3 linked regions of the Sus scrofa genome follow. The protein of the gene in region 3 interacts with the protein of the main gene of each other region in a pairwise test. Links are inferred from orthologs where the notes say so. Each region holds a gene or a part of one and is shown on either strand. Other genes may lie near its edges.

Region 1 (7,273 bases), about 52 Mb from region 3:
CATCCAGAGGGGCCTGTCTAGGTCTGTCTCTTACTCTGTCCTGAGCAAGTACTTACAAGAGGGCTAAGGTGCCCAGAGATGCTGCCCCGACATACACCACCCTACCAACAAGATTCTTTTTAACCGGGGACATCCACAAAATGCATTTGCCCATCCAAGGGTGTGTATCAGTTTATTTTTTATTATAAACAAATAAAGAATAAGTCACAAGTCAAGGACCTGTACTCCATCTCTGAGATACCAAAGATCTTACAATCAGTGAAATAATCTTAAACAACTCTAACTGAAAGCTATGCAGAAAGCATTGAGTCAGAATAACCAATGTGACCCAGGAAAGAAGGGGCTGGGCTTGAAAAGTCAGGGAAGGCAAGAGTCCAATAGGAATGAGCATGCCCCTAAGTTTGGGGAGCTTGGCTATGAGACCAGGGGCTGGGAAGCAGTGGCTGGGAACCCACCTGTGTCCATCCTGAGAGGTGGGGCAGCCCAGTCACTACCAGAGTCACTTGATGCCCCATCTGCCTAAAGCATGGGAACAAACGTTCACCCTCTGCTCTGGGTGGGAGCAACTGGGGGGAGCTGGAGACAGAAGAAGGGGACAGGAGGCCAGGAGCCAAGGACTGGGGGCTCATTTTGGCCCTGTAGCCAGAATCTCCTAGAGAGGTCCCTGCTGGTCTGTCCAATTGACCCAGACATCAGAAAAGATAATCAATAGGACTGTGTATGTAGGCTGGAGGCAACCCAGGTGCCAACCATGGCTTGGTCACAGCAGATCCTGAAAGAGGTGATATTCCTTGGATCTATAGACGCCTGGATCCACTGACCGCCTCTAAGCCTGGGCTCAGACCTGTGGTGCCAAGCTAGGCATGAATAATTATTTCCCGAGCTCGGGGTCCTGGCGGGGTCTCTGAGAAATGACTTTGACCACCCCCTCATTTCTATCTAAGGGCAAGGCAGCCATAGGCCTAGGTGGGGCTGAGGAAGGGCTGGTGGGTATAAAGTAAAATGGAACTCACATAGGACAAGTCTTCCAGGCCCCTGCCCAGGGTCTGCCCTGACATACAGCTGCTGTCTGAGCCACTGGAGCCACTGGCTGATGGGCACTGGGACAAGACTTCTGAGTCCTCAGGAGCTAGGAAAGATTAGGTGAGCTGTCAGGAGGGGAGGCCCAGATAACAAGCCATGCCCTCCTGCCTCTGGCCAACCCCAGACCTACTCAAAGATGGCTGGCTGCCCAGCTCGGCTTCAGCCTCCAGTACTGCTTCCTCTGGGAAGCTGGTGGAATACAGGGGCCAGCAGAAGTCCAGAATCGCCGGGTCTCTATACAGATGCAGGTTGAGGGACCCCAGTACAGAGCAAGAGGCAGGGTCTCCAGGAAGGGAGTTTGAGGCCCCCAGGTAGGGGCTGTCACAGTCAAATGGGACCACAGCAATGGAGGCACGAGAGCGAACTTCTGCATGAAAAAGAGGGTCAGGCTGGGTCAGGCCAGAGCCCAGCTGGGCCAAGGTCTGGAGGCGAACACCAGCTAAGGCTGAGAGAGGTCCATGTTGCCTCCTGTGCAGCTCTCCCCTCCCCACCCCCTGCAGCCTGACTGCTACCTCGGCACTTCAGAATATAATTGATGGTGCGGTCGTTGATAGCTTCTTCACTGGGTGCAATATCCCGGAAGGCCTTGTTCCCCACACCCATGGACACCATCTCAGCCATGCGCACTTCTGGGAGGACAGTGAACATCTGGATATCAGCCAGGCCCTTTATCTACCCTTCCCCCTTACATAAGTCTCTCCTATCCACCCATAGCCAGCACACTGTCCTGGGCACTGAGCCTTTCTGGTGCCAGACTCTCTCTTCCCAACAATTCCATGGACAAGCGTCACAATTCTCCTTTTAGAGGTAAGACCTCTTACTACTGCAGCTGTGGCACAGGCCAAAGCTGCAGCTCAGATTCAATCCCTGGCCAGGAACTTCCATGTACCATGGTGAGGCCAAAATAAGTAAATAAGCAAATAAATAAAATAGACATGAGGCCTCTAATACTCAGAAGTTAATGCTGTGTCCACAGTCTGAGACAGTGACAGCAAGACTACCTGACTTTGGAGTACTTAACCCTGGATGGGTTGCTGCTGATGGACCTTTTCCCTTCTCACAAGTGCTTCCAGGTCCCTAGGTCCTCCCTGGGGCCCTTCTGGGACGACATAAGCTCTCCGAGGAGGGGAATGTGGGGTGTAATGGGCAGGGAACCTACCCTTGTTGTGGAGAGCCTGCCTCCAGAGCAGGCGGGAGATGTCAGCTGTCCAAGCCTGCTTGGTGGCCAAGTTGGCAGCTTGTAGTACAAAGGTGTCCTTGGCCTTGCAACGGCGGAACCAGATCTCAAAGCGCAGGTTGCTATCCCCACAGCATTCAGTGAGGCCAAGGTCTGCCATCTGTGCGGGCAGGAGAAGGGCTTGGTGAAGCATGGGGAGTGTGGGGGGAGCAGGGAGGGGTTGGGTCAGCCTACCTTGAAGGAGCGCTTGTAGGCGAATATGTCAATGCCTGCAGGTCCTCGGCGAGGCTTGCTGAAGAGCAGCAGCTCCTCAAAGAGGAAAATGCGACGCAGGGACTTGTGGCGCCCAGCACGCACCATGAACTCATCCTGTCGGACCAACTGCCCTTGTTCCTTGAGGTTGACCTGTCAGATTGGGGCTCAGTGGGTGCCCCACCTCTTCTGCCCCCTCCCTTCACACCTGCCCCTGCCCACCATGCCCTAGAATGACTCACATCACAGCCCTGGATGGCATCCATGGCTAACAAGTCATTGCCATGTCTCAGCTGGAAGCGCACAAGACTCTGGGCAGCCCGCAGGGCACTCAGCTCCTGCACAGCACCCCCACAGGCCCGCGCCAGCTCCTGCAGCAGCAGCGCATACTTGCTCATGCGCTGGATGGGCTTCAGCAGGTAGGAGGCCAAGTCCAAGTGGTCCCCCAGTGCTTGCTGCTTGTCCTGCCAGGTGCGTGGGAGACCATCAGGGGGCTTCAGGTTATTTACTCCATTCCCCCTCCCCCTACAGTTTCAGGCTCACCTACCCTGAAGAAGACATGACCATAGCTGGTCATCAGAGCATCAGAGCGAGGTTTATTCTTGCTATAGAGTGCGTACATCCCAAACTGCACCCTCTGCAAAGATACATAGTTCAGCCTGGTGCAAGGGGCCAGCATCCAAGGGGCCCAGACTACTCTCAGCTGGGGAGGACCAAAATGCCAACAGGCGGGTCCCAAGGAGGCTTCCCCCAAAAGATCCAATCTGCCCTGCTTTGACTGAGAGGCGATCTGGCGAGAACAGGGACTGTGCAGAGAGGGGCTTGCCCACAGGCCCTCTGGAAAAGAAGTCCTGCATTCAGCTCTGATCCTCCCACAGCTCTGAGAGCACCGCTCTGGTCTCACCTTACCTCCTTCCCTTGCTCACAATACTAAGCCACACTGACCTGTTTCTTCCATGACTACAGGCTGCTTTCCTGCCCAGGGCTTTGCACTTGATCTTTCCTCTGAATGGAACTGGAGCCCCTCCCTCTAGCCTCAGCTCAAATATCAGCTCCTCTTCAAAGAGGCCTAACTGCTCTCTCTAAAGGAGATACCCTTCCCCACCACTAACTCACAATCACCTATCCTGATTTTTTTTCCTCCTAGCCCAAACTATAACCTGGGATTTTACTTTTATGTCTCTTCTACTAAAGGACAGGAACCTTTTGGTCCTGTTCAGAGCTGTACCCGTCACAGAGCCTGTACCCAACAGCTCTCTGCTGAGTATGACAGAATCAGCCAGGGGCCGTATGGCTTGTGAGGCTTACATGGCGCAAAAAAGCATAGGCCACCCGGGGCGGGTGCTGGGTACAGGCCTCCAGCTCACGCAAGAAGAAATGGCAGTGGAAGTCCCGCAGCTTCTCCAGGTTGCCAAAGAGATGGGCACGCTGGCCACGGAGGCCTTGGGGCACATCAGGGCGATCCAGCTCCGGGAAGTAGTTCTCCATGGTGTAGTCAAGAGCACGGACATACTCCCGCTCTGTAGCTACCATCTCCGCCAGTACCAGCTGAAGCCTACCAAGGAGGTGGAGTCAGGACCCAAGACATTTGTCCTGCCACTGCCCTCCCTGCCCTGCTCACTGCCTGTACCTGTTGGGGCTCCTGGGGTCACAGCTGCCTGGTGGAGGCATGGTGGGGCAGGACCTTGGCTGGACACCACCTCCAGCCTCTGGACTGTGGCAGGCAGCCACAACAGCCTCATGGTGGCACTGCTGTGTAGACTCTCTGAGACTCAGTCCCAGATTCCGATCAAGGCTGTATGCCTTTCTCAGGGGAGGGGCGGCAGGTCTAGCCAAGCCCCGGCTTACACACAGGCTAGCTGTGCTACCTGTCAATGGAGGCTTCAGAGCAGCCTCTAGCTTCTGGTCCAGGGCCAGCCAGGTGTCCTGGCACCACGCCCAGGCCCAGCGACACTCCTGGCGAATGCCCTCAGATCCCAGCCCTGTGGCTAGAGCCCACATCTTTCGGAAGTGGGCAGGAGGCAAGTCAGGGTGCTTGGTCCAATGCAGCTGTAGCCGTTGCAGCACAACCCCTGGGCACTCCTGTTCCAGTTCTGCCAACACCCGCTGCCCCTCCTCGGCCCACGTCGAGGCCTGCAATACCAAAGCTAGGTGGGCACTGATGAAGGAGCCCATCAAGATTGCTGGGCCTTCTCCTCTACCCACCCCCCATCCCCATTGAATGGCCACATCCCCAGTGGTAGGATTTGGGGGTTAGACTAAAGACAAGGAGAAAAAACAGGTAAGATACACAGCAACACTCAGGTGGTAGTAGAGCTGAGCAGCCACCCCTACTTCACTGACCACCTGGAGCCAGGGTTGGGACCCCCTCACCCACCTGCTTGAAGAACTGCAACAGCCTCTCAGCATCTGCCAGCCTCTGCCGCCTCTGGGCCAAAGCCCTAGAGAAGTCAGTCAGCTGGGCTTGCAGGGCCAGAAAGCTGGCCCCAAAGGGGCCCAGTTCAGCCGCATCCCATCCAACCAGTAGTTGCAGAAACTTCTCCCCTCGCCTGATCTGCTCCTGGAGACAGAGACTGGGCTCAGCAAGCCCTGGCCTGGTAGTCTAGTCCCAGAGCCCAGATTTTTTCCACAGATGTCTACACGTCATCGTCAAGTGTCTTCTCTGAAGACTTTCCCTCCACCCCCTACCCACTCCCCTCTCTCTCTGTGCTCCTCCCTACAGCCAAACTTCCTGGAGGAATTGCTGCTCTCTTCACTGCTTAACTCATGAGCATCTGTAGCCCCACTTCCCCCACCTCTGACTCAACCACTCAGCACCATCCAACACTCTCTCCCCCAGCTCCCGTGACCCATCCCCACTCTCCTGATTCTCCTTATCTTTCTCTGGTGCTTCATCCTCCTGCTCTCCACCCGACACCTGGGCTGTTAAACACTGGTGCCCATGAAAACAGCCCACGCTCTCTCCTCAGGCAATCTTCAAGTATCATTCACAAGCCCACAACCACCAAGTGACCCTCTACTTGCAGATCCCTCCTCTGAGCTCTCTCTCGTTCCTTCATGGTCATCCCCAAAGCACACCCAAGACTGGATGGATGAATCCCCTTTCCCCAGAAGGTTGCCGTCCCCGAATCCTTCTCTCAAGGAATAGTACCTATTCATCTTTGCAACCTCTCTCCCTCTTATCCTCTTCCTATGTTTCCACTATTGAATTCTATCAATTTCCCAAATCTAGGAATTCCCATCATGGCTCAGCGGTAACGAACCCAACTAGTATCCATGAGGATGCAGGTTCGAGGCCTGGCCTTGCTCAGTGGGTTAAAGATCCAGTGTTGCTGTAAGCTGTGGTGTAAGTTAGATCCTGTGTTGCTGTGGCTGTGGTGTAGGCCAGCAGCTCTAGCTCCGATTCAACCCCTAGCCTGGCAACTTCCATATACTGCGAGTGCAGCCCTAAAAAGACCAAACAAACAAAAAAATCTCAACTCTATCTCCTCTGCCACCATCCTGGACCACTGCAACTGCCTCTTCAATGCATTCTGCATGTCCATCCTCCAAGTAACTGTCTACCTATGAACTAAGGTAATGTTCACAGAACATAGATCTGATTATATGACTTTCCACTTAAATTACACTGTCACAGGGCCCAGCATATGGCCACTGACCACTTTTCCAGCCTCATTTTACCTCATCTTGCCCTATTCTCCCTGTATTTCATCCTCACTGTCCTCCTTATGGTTCTTGGGGCAAATCATGCTCCCTCTTGCCACAGGTCCTTTGCAGGTGCTTTTTGCTCCCTCAGTCTGAGATGTCTCTTATCCGCCAACCCTCTTCTGCCTGGTTAAGCTCAACCTCTCCTTCAGCTCTCAGCTCAAAAGTCACTATTTCAAGAAAGCTTGCTAACACCCCTCCTGGATCAAGACTTTATTGTACACTCAGGTAGAATCAGCTGTGCTGCTTCTCTCCAGAGCTTTTGCCTAGAAAGAATACATACATATGACTTTGAACTTTTGGTGATAACTGATCTTCTCTGCTGGACTGTAAATTCCAAGAGAGTAAAGGATTTCCATTCACCCACCCAGCATTCCTAGTTCCTGGTAAAATGTCCCAATACCTACACAAGGAACAAGTGACCAAACTCACTTGGGCAATCCGGTCCAGTTCCTGAAAAGGGCCTTGGGCCTGGAGTAGCATGTCCAATGAGGGCTCCCTTGGCTCCTCAAGTGCTGGCCAGCCCACCTGCTGCAACCACACTTCAATCTGGAGGAGTACAGGCAGGGAAAGAGGGCTGCTGTGAGGCAGAAGTGATGCTTGAGATTAGAGGTGAGGCCCATTTGGGGAGATGGTTCCCACCTGGTGCAACCTGCCCTCCTGGGCCTCCAGCATCTGGACCAACTCCAGTGCTTGTACTCGCCGGTTACTCTGTAGGGTCAGTTGGTGCAACAGTCCATCCACACGGCCATACAGGTCCTCGGCCTCATCCACTGCTGGCCTGGTGCATGGTACATGTCTCAGCACCCCTGCCTGGTGTCTAGCTCCACTCCACCCTGTCCTGGGACCACAACCCTGACTATTTCTGAGCCAGCCACTGAGTCCCTGGCATGGGATATGATAGGCTGGAGCAGGATCTGGGATATGGACTTGCACCTACCTGTAGTCTGGACTCAGAGTCACCTCTGAGACCTCCTGCTTTAGCCATGCCAGCTCTAAGCCTCCTTGGCATTGTAGCCATGCCAGCTGTGGCGAGTCTAGCACATGCTGCATCAG
Region 2 (7,273 bases), on a different chromosome or scaffold from region 3:
AGCAAAGTGAGTTACTCAACACAAACGATTTCCATTCGTTTTCTACTTGACAGTCTAATTAAGTTTGTGATTTCACCAGCCTGGTGCTGTGTCTACCTTGTGTTCCATTTAATACCCACCAAGCTGCTGTTGCTCAATAAATCATTACTGATGATGAAACAAAATCTAATTTTAAAAATTATAGCTGTTCTGGAAATGCATTTATTTACTGGGTTAAAGTAATTATAAAGTAAGTGTTTCCTAGATAGATCATTTAACCATGGCATGTGATAAAAATACTGTCTTCTTCCCACATCTTGCTTTAAACCCCCCCCAAACCAAGCTACACCTTTTTTTTAACAGCAGAAAGCCATACCAAAGAATTTTGAAGACCCCTGTCATTAGACATAGTGATATCAAAGCATTTGAATAAACTGTTGAGACAGCTTAAGAGACATAGAAAATAACTCATAGTAATTTTGAAAACGGTAACTTCAAACATCATGCGATATCCCTTATACGTGGAATCTAAAAAAAGAATACAAATGAACTTGTCTGCAGGACAGAAACAGACTCACAGGCTTTGAAAACCAACTCATGGTTACCAAAGGGGACAGGTTGGGGGAGGGATGGCCTGGGGGTCTGGAACTGGCTTATGCACACTGCGGTATATGGAATGGCTGGCCAATGGGAACCTGCCGTGCAGCACAGGGAACTCTACCCACTACTGTGTGATAATCCATTTGGGAAAAGAATCTGAAAAAGAATGAATGTGTGTCTATGTGTAACTGGGTCGCTTTGTCATACAGCAGAAATGATCAGAACAGTGTAAATCAACTATACTTCAATCAAACTTTTTTAGAAAAAATGAAAATGATAACTTGGAGCTTCTATGTCACTTCGTCACACAAAAGAGCCCATTCTGGCCACTTTTGTGGGGACAAGAAATGACATTTGGCTTTCTCCCTTTCCGGTGGCTGAAGTACCTGCGTTTTCTTTGACTTACCCTGAGTGGATTTTCATTAAGGTAAGGGGGTTCACCTTCTACCATTTCGATTGCCATAATCCCCAGAGACCAGATATCAACTTTCGGACCATAAGCTTTTCGAGTCACCACCTCAGGAGCCATCCAGTAAGGCGTTCCCACCATAGTGCTTCGTTTACTTTGCTCAGGGGTGATCTGGGCGCAGAACCCAAAATCAGCTGCAGAGAAGAAAAGTTTGTTACAGTCAGCTCGAATTATTTTTCTTTTACAAGCGGTCCCCTTCAGATATGGCCATACCTTTCTTTGGTTAGACACAGAGCTTCCATAACTGCCTGGCTCATAGCCTTGTTAACTGATCTCGCAATTGGTTCAGATTGTAAAAGGGTCTGAGACAACTGCCTGATGTGATGTCATTTTTACTAGACCTCAGTCTGGTTCCCTCCCCATACTGCTTCCCTCTAACTTCCAGAATCTTTCAGCTTTCTAATTAGGTAGCTGTCATCTAGCAGGTGCAAGCCACTAGAAATTCTGAAATTTTAAACCCCTCAAATCTGGCCACAGTCTACAGGAACATGAACGTCAGAAAAATCGTTTATCTCATCCTGGGGTCTAAAAGCCGTCAAACCAATCACTTTTCAAGAGCCATTTTCTTCTCAACATAGAGAGAAAAAAGTAGGAATCCCATGACACTCGCTCAAATGCCATCTGCACCGTTATACCTACTCAATTTAACAGAGCCATCCATCCCAAGGAGAATATTGTCACTCTTTATGTCTCTGTGGATCACTTGGTTTGAGTGCAAGAAATCCAAAGCTTGGAGGCACTATTGAATCAGGGGGAAAAAGAAGGTTTCATTATATCACAATAATTTTCCAAAAATATATTTCATTTCTAGAGACATCTGGGGCAGGGATATAATTTTATGTTGTTGGGTGAAATAAATGACTAAATATTTCAATGCTATTTTGAAGTCACATTACCATCTACATCAGTGATACAACTTGGCGTTCTGCTTATGAAAGCTCCCGAATCAGACCTGGACATGAAGAGTGATGCTGTCTTGAGAAGCACTAAATTGTTAAGACAGCCAAATTAACCAATGAATATAATCCTGCTTGGACCTACTTATCTGGAGGATAGCGATTCCACTTGGTCTTATACACATAAGTAAGCATCTGCAACTGTGGCATAATTTGATTCGGCAGGTCTGCAGAGGGACCCAGGAATCTGCATTTAAAACAAGCGCCACAAGCTATTTCTCGATGGACAGAAATCCAGGTTTGGGAACCACTTCTAGGCTATGCAGTCACTAAAAGTACTTGTTTGGAAATGGCTTTGCATTGTAATACTCAAAGATGAAAACCACAGGCTAAGGGTTGAATAGGCCCCTGCATATTTTAATTTACTGCATGCAGAAAATATGTGTTTGGTTAACATGTGTGCATGTTTGGCAAGGAGGAAATGGGAATGAGAGGAGAGCAAGGAAGGAGGAAATTTAAGTGAACAATTTAAAATAAAAAACAAGGAAAGACTAGAAAAGACTATTTGAATTTATGTGTCCTCTCTTTCTTTCTTTTTTTCTTTTTTGCTTTTTAGGGCCATACCTGCAGCATACAGATGTTCCCAGGCTAGGGGTTGAAGTGGACCTACAGCTGCCGGGCTACACCACAGCCACAGCAACTCAGGATCCGAGCTGTGTCTGCGACCTACACCACAGCTCACGGCAACACTGGATGCGTAACCCACTGAGCAAGGCCAGGGATTGAACCCGCGTCCTCATGGTTACTAGTTGGATTCGTTAACCACTGAGACACAAAGGGAACTCCTGAAATTATGTGGTTTTGTTTTACTTTCATTGGGTTTCAAGTTTCAGTGGGTCAGAGTTCCTCTCTGTGTCTATAGAAAACCTCAGTGAGTGGGGTACAGCTGACAAAATGACACTCCAAAGAGGAATGTGTTTTTTTAATATTGAAAAAATTAATAAAGTAAATATCCTTAGTTTATTTGAAACGAGATATGCACTGTTATTGGAAAAGAGGCAGACACTCAGACGCACGGGTCTCTAGAATGTACTGTGAAAGCAACTTCTTTCTGGATTGAGGAAGGACCTTGCTTAAACTGCCTTCTAGAAAATGATGGGATTATAATGTGGTCTGTATTGTACATGGCTTCCACGGCACATGCAAGGCAAAATAACCATCATGTAAAAACTCCCCCCAGTCGGAAAGAAGTTCTATTGCCAACAGCATTGAATTGTTTTTCATATTCACCGACACTCTGGCATGCAGGCTTAGATACGGTACCTCGCGAATGGCATACAGAGAACTGAAATAGATCCATAGCAAAGCAACTAAAACAAACAAGGGACTGGAGAGGGAGAGTTAGGATTTAAATTGAGGTTAGGCTCGTCAGTCGCTCTTTAGGACAAAAGATGTGCTATTGCTACTTTGATGGTACCAACCTTCTCAATAATCAAAGAGAAGGAACTGCCAATTTTGGTGTTCTCATCAGCCAGAAATGCTCTATTTTCTTACCTCTCTGCAGACAGCTGCTATCTGTCCTTCATCCATACAGGTCTCCGTGACCACATCAGTCAAAGAGCCACCGGCCAAGTATTCCATGACTACCCATAGTTCATCACCCACTAAGTAGCTAAAACAAGAGGAAGAAAGAGATGATGATTCAGGCCAAAGGAAGTGGAGACTCTTCTATATTCCCATTAAGAAGGCAATGTGCAGTGAGTCTCTGCCTTTGGCCATCTTATCTAACAGGAGGAAAATGTCAATTATGCTAATGAGATATTTCCTTAGCATTAGAAGAGAATATGCATGAAAATCAAAGGATCATCAGATAAGTTGCATCATGGAGGAAGGAAAAAGCAAGGAGGCCTCTGGTGACTGACGACTGTCAGTCATTCCACTGTAAAAAGCTGGTTTCAATGAAAAGGATCTGTGAACAGCCCTTTTGGACAAGTCAGGTCATAGTGTTGACTTCTTGGAATGAACCCACGGCACAGAGATTTATAGGATTATTTATTCAGCTCTCAGCATTACGTTTGATTCTACTGAATCAATCACTGAACTCTTTTCAGGTAGTCGCTGAATCAAAGAGAACCAAAGAGACTCAGGTTGGCAATGATTTACTGTGCTGAGGTCTCAGTTCTGGTAGGAGTCGGTTGCGACACACCCATTATCTTTAAGGAGCCATTGAGGGACACACCCCAAATGGCCAGATATGGGGAGGCAGGTCGCCAGAGCCCCACAATTTTGGCAAATTCAAAAGACCTGCGACCAGCTGAAGGCACTTCAGCAGTATGATCAGGTCTCTCTTTTCGCCTGCTCAGCAAGAGGGAGGAATTACAGTGAAAGGGAAGGACCCCAACAATTCTACCCTGTCCTAAGCTTGACATCGGTGTGAAGCAAGACTTTCTATCCAGTGGTGCTCAAACTGCAGTGCCCGTGCGATTCACCAGGGAAGCTTGTTCAAGATGAAAATTTTCATTAAAATGCTTATTTCATCAGAACCAAATGCCTCATGAGTTATGGAGAGTAGCCTAGGAATCTGCATTTTTATAACTGCAATTTTTACGAGGTTACAAAAGCAGAGTGACGTCACTCTGCTGCAGAGGGTCCTGGAAGGATATTTTAGGAAGCTCCAATTTTGCCTGTAAAATCTGACCCTTCTTTTTGGGGGCTCCCTTTCATCTTCTTCGGCCTGCTGGTCTACCTGGGGCAAGACACAGGCAGCCAGATCTTAAGAGCACTGGGGTTGTAGACCCGGTCTTATTTCCTTTGAATCCCCCCAGAGTATACAGCACAGTGGTGCTAAACAAACACTTACCGAAACTGAATGAGACAGATGTAAACCACAAGTGAAGAGTTAGTGCTGTCTTTAAATGCCCTATTAATAACCCACCGCTAATACCACTGATGAAAGAGACATTAATTACCTGGTCTCGGAAAAAGGTTTGAGATTAAAGTCTCAATTCCCTAGACCTCGCTGCCAGTTAATCACAAAGCGCCCATTAAAGCAGGGCCAATGGAGCCGGCCTTCTTCACTTAGAGAGTCAGAGACTGCGGTGGCTCCAAACACACACTTGAAGAAATGTTTAAAACAGCACAGCTCTCTCTCCAGTAAGCAACAGTCCATTTCCTGGCAACACGGAGTCCTGATCCTCAGAAGGAAATTACACAAACTGCTCGGGTTTAGAAGCAAGACCGTGACATGCATGTTCAAATGGTTAAGGGGTGGACAAAGATAAATGGGTATAAGTTTAGCAACAGACCCGATGCTCTTACTGTTTTGCAGCATTTGCGAAATATGTGTAGAATGGATACTAAACGCATAGATCCTAAATAAAAATAATTGGCCAGGAAAATGATATCCCATAAAGAAAACAAGCACACGATGAGAGAAAACACTTACCTATCTAAATAATTAACAATATTTGGGTTCTTATTTTCCCTCATGACCAGAATTTCATTAATAATTAATTCCTTTTTGGGCTGCTGTTGAAGGTTCATCTGCTTTATGGCCACCTGAATCATGATTAAAATGCAGGAATGAATTACAATCATTAGACTAAACACAGACATCCATCTTTTTTGGCATACAGAGTCAGGCATACAAACTCTTTATCTTACTAGGCTCCTTCTCGATGCCACCACCCCCCGCTCCTTTCCTGTGGTCAAGCATGAACAAACCATTCACTTCAGATATTTTGGACACCAACAATGTAAACATGTCAACCCCGTGGTCCCCATCCTTTCAGGCATAGATGCCATCGAAGGGGAATTCTGATCGAAATAAACAAAGAAAAGCAAGACTCAGAATTGAAGGTTAACAGTTACCTCTTGTCCCGTGGCAATGTCCAGCGCTGTGTAAACAGTACCCGATGCCCTGTGAAGGTGCAGATTATCAAATGAATAAGCAAAGCGTAACCAATGTATTTTCTTGGGCATTGCGGGTAGTTATTTTCAGGAGAAGGAACTCAGCGAACTCAAGCTTCAAGGATGAAGTGCAAAAGGAACAACCATTTTGTATAATAATTGCTCCCCAAACTATCACATCTTTTTGGTGGGCTGGAAACCTGGTCACATTTTAGGTGTGCCATGGAACTAGGCAGTAATGAATTGAGCAAAATGGCTTTGCTCTTTTTAGGAAACTCTTGGAATTTTTTTTTTTTTTTTTTTTTTTGGTCTTTTGAGGGCCGCACCTGTGACATATGGAGGTTCCCAGGCTAGGGGTCCAGTCAGAGCTGTAGCTGCCAGCCTACACCACAGCCACAGCAACGCCAGATCCAAGCCACATGTGTGACCTACACCACAGCTCACAGCAACCCCAGATCCTTAACCCACTGAGCAAGGCCAGGGATCGAACCCCCGGCCTCATGGTTCCTAGTCAGATTTGTTTCTGCTGCACCAGGATGGGAACTCCCTCCTGGAATATTTTGAAGATTCCTTGGATGGGGCACAACCAACACTACAGTCCTTGATTAAACACTTTAGGGAAGATTTCGTCATATTTTGCTTAGGCAACTGTAAATTAATCTTTACTTCTTGCAAATGTATAGAGTAGGCTTTTTTCATATAGTTCTAATTTTGTTTCTTTTTTTTTTTTTATGGCCGCATCTGCAACATATGGAAGTTCTGGAAGTTTGCAGGCTAGGTAGGGGTCAAATCAGAGCTGTGGCTGAGGCCTACGCCACAGCCACAGCGACACCAGATCGGAGCCACTCTGCCACCTATGCCTCAGCTTCTGGCCACCCCAGATCCTTAACCCACTAAGCAAGGCCAGGGATCAAACCCGTGCCTCCAGAGATATTACGTCAGGTCCTTAACCCTCTGAGCCACATTGGGAACTCCTCTAATTCTTCAGCATATCTTCATCCAACAAATAAATCACTCCCAGTGCTGTAGCTATACTTGTACTGTAGCTCTACAAAGCAATAACAATGTGACTTTACTCTTGAGCCATTATTTTTTCTTTCTGTTAAATTTCTCAACAGCTTCTACTCTTAGGTTTCACTACAGTCCACTATTGTTTTTTGTTGTTGTTGTTGTTTGTTTGTTTTTGTCTTTGTCCTTTTTAGGGCCAGACCTGCGGCATATGGAGGTTCCCAGGCTAGGGGTCTCATGGGAGCTGTCGCCACTGGCCTATGCCAGAGCCACAGCAACGCCAGATCGAGCCGCGTCTGCGACTTACACCACAGCTCATGGCAGCGCTGGATCCTCAACCCACTGAGCGAGGCCAGGGATCGAACCCGCAACCTCATGGTTCCTAGTTGGATTTGTTTTTGCTGTACCCCGA
Region 3 (7,273 bases):
CAAGGACAACAACTGGAAACTAGGGTATCCCTAATAAACAGAAAATCCTTTCTTGCTTACTGACAAAAGATCAACTAATTGCCTACAAGACAAAACTAATCTTTGCTTTAATCACACTATCTGATTATATAAAGAATTCAGTTTTAGAGGAACCAACAAACAGAATCTGGAGTCCTAAAAAGTTCTAGCTCCCAAACAGCACCAGAGACCCCATTTGCTATCTTCTCTTTTGATTTCTCCAAATTCAAAATCTGGTAAGAAAAACGCAGTTGCTAAGATCTTTTCAAATTTCTATTCTCTGGCAAAGTGCTGTACTATATAAACCTGTTCATACTGTAAAAAACTTTATATGAAAACATCCAATTCTCTAAAATAAGCTTCACTAGTGACCTACAAATGGGTCCACATGGCCTACTTGCCTCCATTTCCCCCCAAAGCAACCCGTATTTAGAGGACAGGGATATTCAACAATTATCCGACCAAAGTGTTCCACATATATCTTCTTCAATACACACACACACACACTTTCCTGGGTATGGTATCAAAACACAGAAGCATCAGGCATTTAAAAAAAATTTCAGTGCTATGTAAAAAGATGTAAAATCTTCTCAACTTTTAAATATCTGCTTTTACAACAGAACTAAACTGCTAGGGAACTAAACTGCTAGTTTGGGAAAACGAAATTAGCTTTAAAGTCATCCTGTGAAATAGCCAGCTAAGAATAAAAGTTTTATTTTTACATATCCCAACCCAGGGCTAAATTGGAGATTACTAAATTATGTGTAGGCCCTACATACTAAATATCTAGTACATGTATAATACGTAACTATATATGCCATTTACTTCAATATATATAAAGCCAAGAATCCAATAGTGGCTTTTCTTAACTTAATAAAAAATAAAAGTTACCTAAAAAAGTAGCATGAGAAATATAAATAGATTTGATGTAATTACAAGAAATTCTACTTTTCAACCCTGCTTATTTTATTGATTTATTTATTTTTGGCCCAACCCGCAGCACGCAGAAGTTCCAGGGCCTGGGATTGAATCTGCATCACGGCAGCGACCCAAGCCACAGCAGTGACAACGCCAGAACCTTATCCACTGAGCTACCAAGCCCTGCCTTATTTTAATTCAGCTCAGCTGCTCACTGTTCAAATGTCAAGGCATCAATGCCAGTAGAATAAAAGAGTTCGCTGCTAATTGTTTCCATAACTCTTTCCTTTACCCCCAGAACTGTGCTCAGAGGGGAGAACTAGTTAGTGACACCATAAAGGAAGAAAAGATGAAACCACATTAACAAGGACATAACAACTCTCACTCTAAACACTATAACACTGATCCCTGTCCTCGGGATCTGAGGTTTCCCGTCAAAATATAAAAAGAGTTCAAATTAAATCCTTCAGAAAGGGACAGAAGAGAGGACCACATAAGGAAAGAATGCCTTCAAAAACATAATAGAAACCCTATATAAAAAGTCATGCTTGAGAAATGGCCAAGGCAGCTTTCTCTGACATCAAAGTCTCAATTATTGTGACTAATTCTCTATCCCAGGTGAATTACCCCAGAAACAATACAGCATCAATTGTCCTTACTGATAAGAAAAGATTAGATATATTTAGATGACCATTTCAGTCTGAGGGAAGGAGGGGAATCATTCACATACTCTCATAAATTTGTGCTAATATGGGAAAAAAAGAATGGATATACTTATATGTATAACTGACTGATTTAGCTGTACACCTGAAATTTTTTTTTAAACAACCTCTAACCACCACAAATGATTCAGTACAACGTGGGAGCTGGCCAACACGAGAGCTTTACTTAGAAACTACTACTTTTCTCCATAAACACAGAGACCTCTAACAAAGGAATATACACTATGAAACTGGTTATAATCTCAGCTTTCTTGAGCACTGCAGACCACTGTGAGAAACACTTGAATCCTAATGCTAAGAAACACTCAACTATAAATAAACATGGAGCTCCACACAGTCCTCACCTGTGTGAGTGCAGAACACTCCACATACTTGACAGCCTTCAGGTCACGGGCCAGCTTTTCAGCAGTCTCTGGAGTGATAGGCTTCTGTTTATTCTTGGCAAGTTTCTCAATAGTAGAGGGGTCATCTCTGAGATCAATTTGGGTCCCAACGAGCAAGAAAGGAGTCTTTGGACAGTGGTGAGTTATCTCAGGCACCCACTAGAGAAAACATATTTTTTAAAACACATTTGCATTAATCCACAAGCCCCCAAAGCTATTTAACAACAAGTCAACAGAAGTTCTATGACAATCCTTTTTTTCAGGGCAAGAATACTTGACCAACTCACCTTTTCTTTCACATTTTCAAACGAGGATGGAGAGACCACTGAAAAACAGACTAGAAATACATCTGTTTGTGGATAACTCAGCGGTCGTAATCTGTCATAATCCTCTTGCCCTAAGGAGTGAAAAATTGAAGAAATCAGCAACTGAATTTTGGTGCCCTCACAACATTAAACTCACAAGTCAGTCAACAGATTAAGCATGCAGTTAATAGCACACATCATTAATGAGAAAGCAACTTATCTAATAAAATATTTGGTTTTGTAACAGAATATGTGAACAGTACTTTCACTCAGCTAACTTTATTTAATATTTCAGGCCCTTAGAACAGCAATGAATTTATTATATATTCATTATTTGCCTTATTACCAGTTTCTTTTGTTTTTTAGGGCCCCTGGGCTAAGGGTCAATTGAAGCTGCAGCTGCCAGCCTAGGCCACAGCCACAGCCACACCAGATCCAAGCCACATCTGCAAACTACAATGCAATTTGTGGCAATGCCAGATCCCTAACCCACTGAGTGAGGCTAGGGATCAAACCTGTATCCTCAAGGATACTAGTCAGGTTCTTACCCCTCTGAGCCACAACAGGAACTCTGCCTTACCACCAATTCGTAGTTTTCAATCTTTGTGTCCATTAGCAACACAACAATAATGTAACCAAAACAATAAGCTGTTACTACAGAAATGATTAAAAATCAAATCCAAACACAGACATTCTTATTATAAAATGGTAATCAACTTCAGGAAATTTAGCATTGATATCATACTCCAACATCTGCATTCCAGTTTTGTTGACTGATTCAAGTACAGTTTTTCCTGCTTTTAAATATGGGACCATGTATTGGATTTAACTGTCATCTCTTTTTTTTTTTTTTTTTTTTTTTTGCTTTTTTTTGCTTTTTAGGGCCACACTCCTGACATATGGAGGGAGGTTCCCAGGCTAGGTGTCGAACTGCAGCTATAGCTGCCGGCCTATACCACAGCCATAGCCACACAGGATCTGAGCCGCATCTGCAACCTACACTACAGCTCTCAGCAATGCTAGATCCTTAACCTACTGATCAAGGCCAGGGATCAAACCTGCAACCTCATGATTCCTAGTCGGACTCTTTTCCGCTGCCCCACAATGGGAACTACTAATTGTCACCTCTCTGTAGTCTCTTGTATTTTTTTTTTTTTTTTTTTTTTTTTGGTCTTTTGGCACAGTGAATTAAGAATCTGAACTGCAGGAGTTCCCATCATGACTCCAGCATTGCCTTAAGCTGTGGTACAGGTTGCAGACACGGCTCAGATCCTACGTTACTGTGGCTGTGGCGTAGGCCTGCAGCTACAACTCAGATTCATTCCCTAGCCTGGGAATCTCCATATGCCGTGGATATGGCCATAAAAAAAAAAAAAAAAAAAAAAAAAAATATATATATATATACAGCAAATAAGGTAAAATGTTAACAACTGGTAAATCTGGTTAAAGGGTGCACATGGGCTCCTAGTAGTACTTTTGCAACTATTCTGCAGACTCGAAATTATTTCCAGATATGTTTAAAAATATCCATACACATTTCCAAAACTGTGAAGGGAAGTCAGGAGTCACAGAGGAAAGATTTAATCCAATTTCAAAACTGAGCTATGTATTAAGAGAATAATTACATACTTAATGACACTGAACTGTACACTTAAAAATGGTTAAAATGGTACTTTTTTTTTTTTGTCTTTTTAGGGCCACACCAGCAGCATATAGAGGTTCCTAGGCTAGGGGTTGAATCGGAGCTGTAGCCGCCAGCCTATACCACAGCCACAGCAACACAGGACCTGAGCCTCATCTGTGACCTACACCACAGCTCACGGCAACGCTGGATCTTTAACCCACTGAGCGAGGGCAGGGATCGAACATGCATCCTCGTGGATGCTAGTCAGATTTGTTTCCGCTGAGCTACGAGTGGAACTCCTAAAATGGTACATTTTATGCTATATATTTTTTACTACGATAAGAAAAAATTTGAAGGGGGGGGAGGAAAATTGAGTATTTTGTATGCCGGTAAATTTTTCTGCCAATGTTGAGAAAGAATACAAGAATTTAGGCTAGCTATCGAAACATGATAATTAAAGATGTTACCATTATTTATATGTTGCCATTACTGCCACTTAAACAATACACTGTAAGTAGAAATAAGGGTACTGTCAGGATAATACTCTACAAAAAATGAAGAGATTAAAAGACAAGTTAAAACAAAGGACGTTAACAAAACAATAAAACCGATATCATACCACTAGCATTTACTGAATACTTTAGCAATATGCTAGGGTTAGAATCAAAGGAATTCAAAGGTATGCACTAAGATGCATAACTTTCACTTTTAAATTATAATGAATGTACAATATAGACAAAGAAGTGATTTTAAAAAGAAATAATGGGCTAAAGGAAAACAAAATCAGCCAAATCCTAACAATTCTCTCAATCCATACTGCCTGAGCTCTAACCTCAGCTTGAGCTTTGAAGCATCAGTCAAAATTCCAATAAAATAACAAAACAAAAAATAAATTAAAAAAATAAGACAACAAAACAGTTAACCAAGCCATGTAAAAAGCACAGACCCTTCACATACCTTTTCTTAGCCCTAGTCCCTATTCAAATGGAATATATTTCACTAAAAATAACCCTGGCATAGACTAGAAAAGGCTTCATTTTTAGTCATTCAGGCCCTGCATCAAAAACAGATCCAAGTATGTATGTATTCCTGAGCACCACAAGGGGCATCTAAATGGAGGCCCAATGTTTTAAATGCGAACAGCCTTCTTTCTATTTATATCAATTGTTACAGAAAACAAATATAGCTACTCTTTTTTAATACTAGATCTAAAGCAGTATTGGTCTGTCCATTTACTTGGAATGAACAAGCCCTCAAAGCTATAAAATCTTTCTTTCCCTTTCACAGGGAGATTAAAAAAAAAGAAGAAGTAAAATTGTTCAATAAATAAAAAGTAGGCTACCTCACATCTCCATCTGTTACAAGTGCTACATTTAAAGGAAAGAGAATGAGTATGATACCTTAGATGAGCAAGGTCCTTCAAAATCCAAGCATAATATATTCAGGTAAAATTTAAGCTCCAAGTATGTCACAGATAGTCATTATTCACTCAAGACAGAGGCAGCACTATCACTTAGCATCCTTTAAGGAACACAACAGGATCAAAAAAACTTCACTCTATATGTGTGAGACAGGTTTTGACCACAGGTCTTAAACTATATCTACTCTAAGAGTACACCAGAGCACCACTTAACCTGCCAAAAAACAAGGTTCTATCTCATGGGTTGCTGGTTCTTGTCCTTGATAACGACCTCAAATGAAAGAGCTCAAACTCAAGCTAGAACTGAGGACTCTGGTCCACATGAAAAATATGAAACAATATTGTGGTATGAAAAATAAGGATATTGCCAAAAAGCAACATCCTTTTTTTTTTTCAGTCTTTTTGCCTTTTCTAGGGCCGCTCCCGCAGCATATAGAAGTTCCCAGGCTAGGGGTCCACCGGCCTACACCAGAGCCACAGCAGCGTGGGATCTGAGCCGCATCTGTGACCTACACCACAGCTCACAGCAACGCCGGATCCTTAACCCACTGAGCAAGGCCAGGGATCGAACCCACAACCTCATGGTTCCTAGTTGGATTCGTTAACCACTGCGCCACGACAGAAACTCCAAAAGCAACATTCTTAGAGAATTAAAGTAGGACATCATAAATAAGAAGAAAACAAATTAAACATTTCATAGAATTTACCACTGCAAATTAAAACCTAAACATTTTTTTCAATAACCAAGTACTCAAAATTTAAGGGCACTTAGTGATCTCTGCTTCATTTGTGCCATGAAGCTTACTCCTAAATAATTTCATAATACCTTTTATATCATGAAAAGAAAAAAGGAAAAAAGCTGAAAGTAAATGGGGGACACTCTGGAACCTGATATTCCTATTATTTTATGCATTAACATCTGTAAAAATCTAGACTATTGCATGTTAATGCAGAATTTACTGAAGACTCAAATCTTGGTCAAAATGCCTTTGGACCAAGGCGACTACAAATATCTGTATGGATAGCACTGTCATTCATTCCTGTTAATGTAATCAATCGATAACTGTAGAAGACTGCCAGATATGAGAAAACACCTCAATGAAAGGAGTTTCTTAAAAACAAAACAGAATAAGCTAAACTGGGTCATAGTGCACCACTATGACTTGTTCTGCATATTACTCATCTGCTAAGGAAGAGAATATTAGCTGTGCACAGAACACTTCCCAGTCACTGTGCTGGTTTTTTTAAAAAGACAATAAAGTGTATTACACAGCTCCTGAGTTTTTACATATGTGAACACTTTGTTAAACTGACTATCACTGAATCTTCACAGCATCTCTAAGAGGACAGGTTTTTTGTTTTTGGGTTTTTTGGAGAGGAGAGTATTTTAAACACTTTACACACCTAGGTAATTAAGCTCCACACAGTTAAGTGACTTGCCAGCTATTTAATCACTGTAATCAGTCGAGAGAAAGGCTGGACTTTAATGCTAGATAGACCAGTTAGCTAGATAGCTGGCAAGTCAAATATGCAAATCCTAAATCTACTCATGAGGAAATGGACAAACTCAAACTGACACATATTTTATAAAATAAGTGGTCTGTTTCCTTTTAAAAATGCCAGTGTGGGCGTTCCCACCGTGGCTCAGCAGAAAGGAATATGACTAGCATCCACGAGGGTTCGATCCCTGGCCTTGCTCAGTGGGTTAAGGGTCCAGCATTGCCATGAGCTGTGGTGTAGGTCACAGACACGGTTCAGATTCAGTGTTGCTGTGGCTATGGTGTAAGTCAGCAGCTATAGCTCTGCTTCGACCCCTAGCTGGGAATCTCTACATGCTTTGGGTGCGGCCCTAAAAAGACAAAAAAGTAAATAAATAAAATAAA

The links. The genes of interacting proteins can lie anywhere in the genome.
Region 1: the proteins of CDC42 (region 3) and PLEKHG4 interact in a two-hybrid assay, tested with the Homo sapiens proteins (2 studies listed by BioGRID and IntAct, with this or other methods). The link is inferred for Sus scrofa from reciprocal best matches to the Homo sapiens genes CDC42 and PLEKHG4.
Region 2: the proteins of CDC42 (region 3) and PAK3 interact in a two-hybrid assay, tested with the Homo sapiens proteins (2 studies listed by BioGRID and IntAct). The link is inferred for Sus scrofa from reciprocal best matches to the Homo sapiens genes CDC42 and PAK3.

Annotation. Positions count from the first base shown.
Region 1 is NC_010448.4:27,925,725-27,932,997, reverse strand, and holds the end of PLEKHG4 (puratrophin-1), read right to left. Parts: coding exon 7,158-7,273; intron 6,999-7,157; coding exon 6,860-6,998; intron 6,767-6,859; coding exon 6,650-6,766; intron 5,073-6,649; coding exon 4,890-5,072; intron 4,646-4,889; coding exon 4,143-4,645; intron 4,068-4,142; coding exon 3,821-4,067; intron 3,150-3,820; coding exon 3,060-3,149; intron 2,977-3,059; coding exon 2,755-2,976; intron 2,666-2,754; coding exon 2,495-2,665; intron 2,421-2,494; coding exon 2,243-2,420; intron 1,713-2,242; coding exon 1,596-1,712; intron 1,451-1,595; coding exon 1,214-1,450; intron 1,130-1,213; coding exon 963-1,129; 3' UTR 845-962; coding exon of another isoform or gene 839-844; 3' UTR 318-838; downstream 1-317. Other genes in the region: BTB/POZ domain-containing protein KCTD19, read left to right, coding at 1-67. UniProt on the Homo sapiens protein: Possible role in intracellular signaling and cytoskeleton dynamics at the Golgi.
Region 2 is NC_010461.5:91,209,848-91,217,120, reverse strand, and holds part of PAK3 (serine/threonine-protein kinase PAK 3), read right to left. Parts: intron 5,864-7,273; coding exon 5,815-5,863; intron 5,503-5,814; coding exon 5,390-5,502; intron 3,617-5,389; coding exon 3,499-3,616; intron 1,788-3,498; coding exon 1,688-1,787; intron 1,183-1,687; coding exon 986-1,182; intron 1-985. UniProt on the Homo sapiens protein: Serine/threonine protein kinase that plays a role in a variety of different signaling pathways including cytoskeleton regulation, cell migration, or cell cycle regulation.
Region 3 is NC_010448.4:80,077,625-80,084,897, reverse strand, and holds part of CDC42 (cell division control protein 42 homolog), read right to left. Parts: intron 2,439-7,273; coding exon 2,329-2,438; intron 2,201-2,328; coding exon 2,003-2,200; intron 1-2,002. UniProt on the Homo sapiens protein: Plasma membrane-associated small GTPase which cycles between an active GTP-bound and an inactive GDP-bound state. In active state binds to a variety of effector proteins to regulate cellular responses. Involved in epithelial cell polarization processes.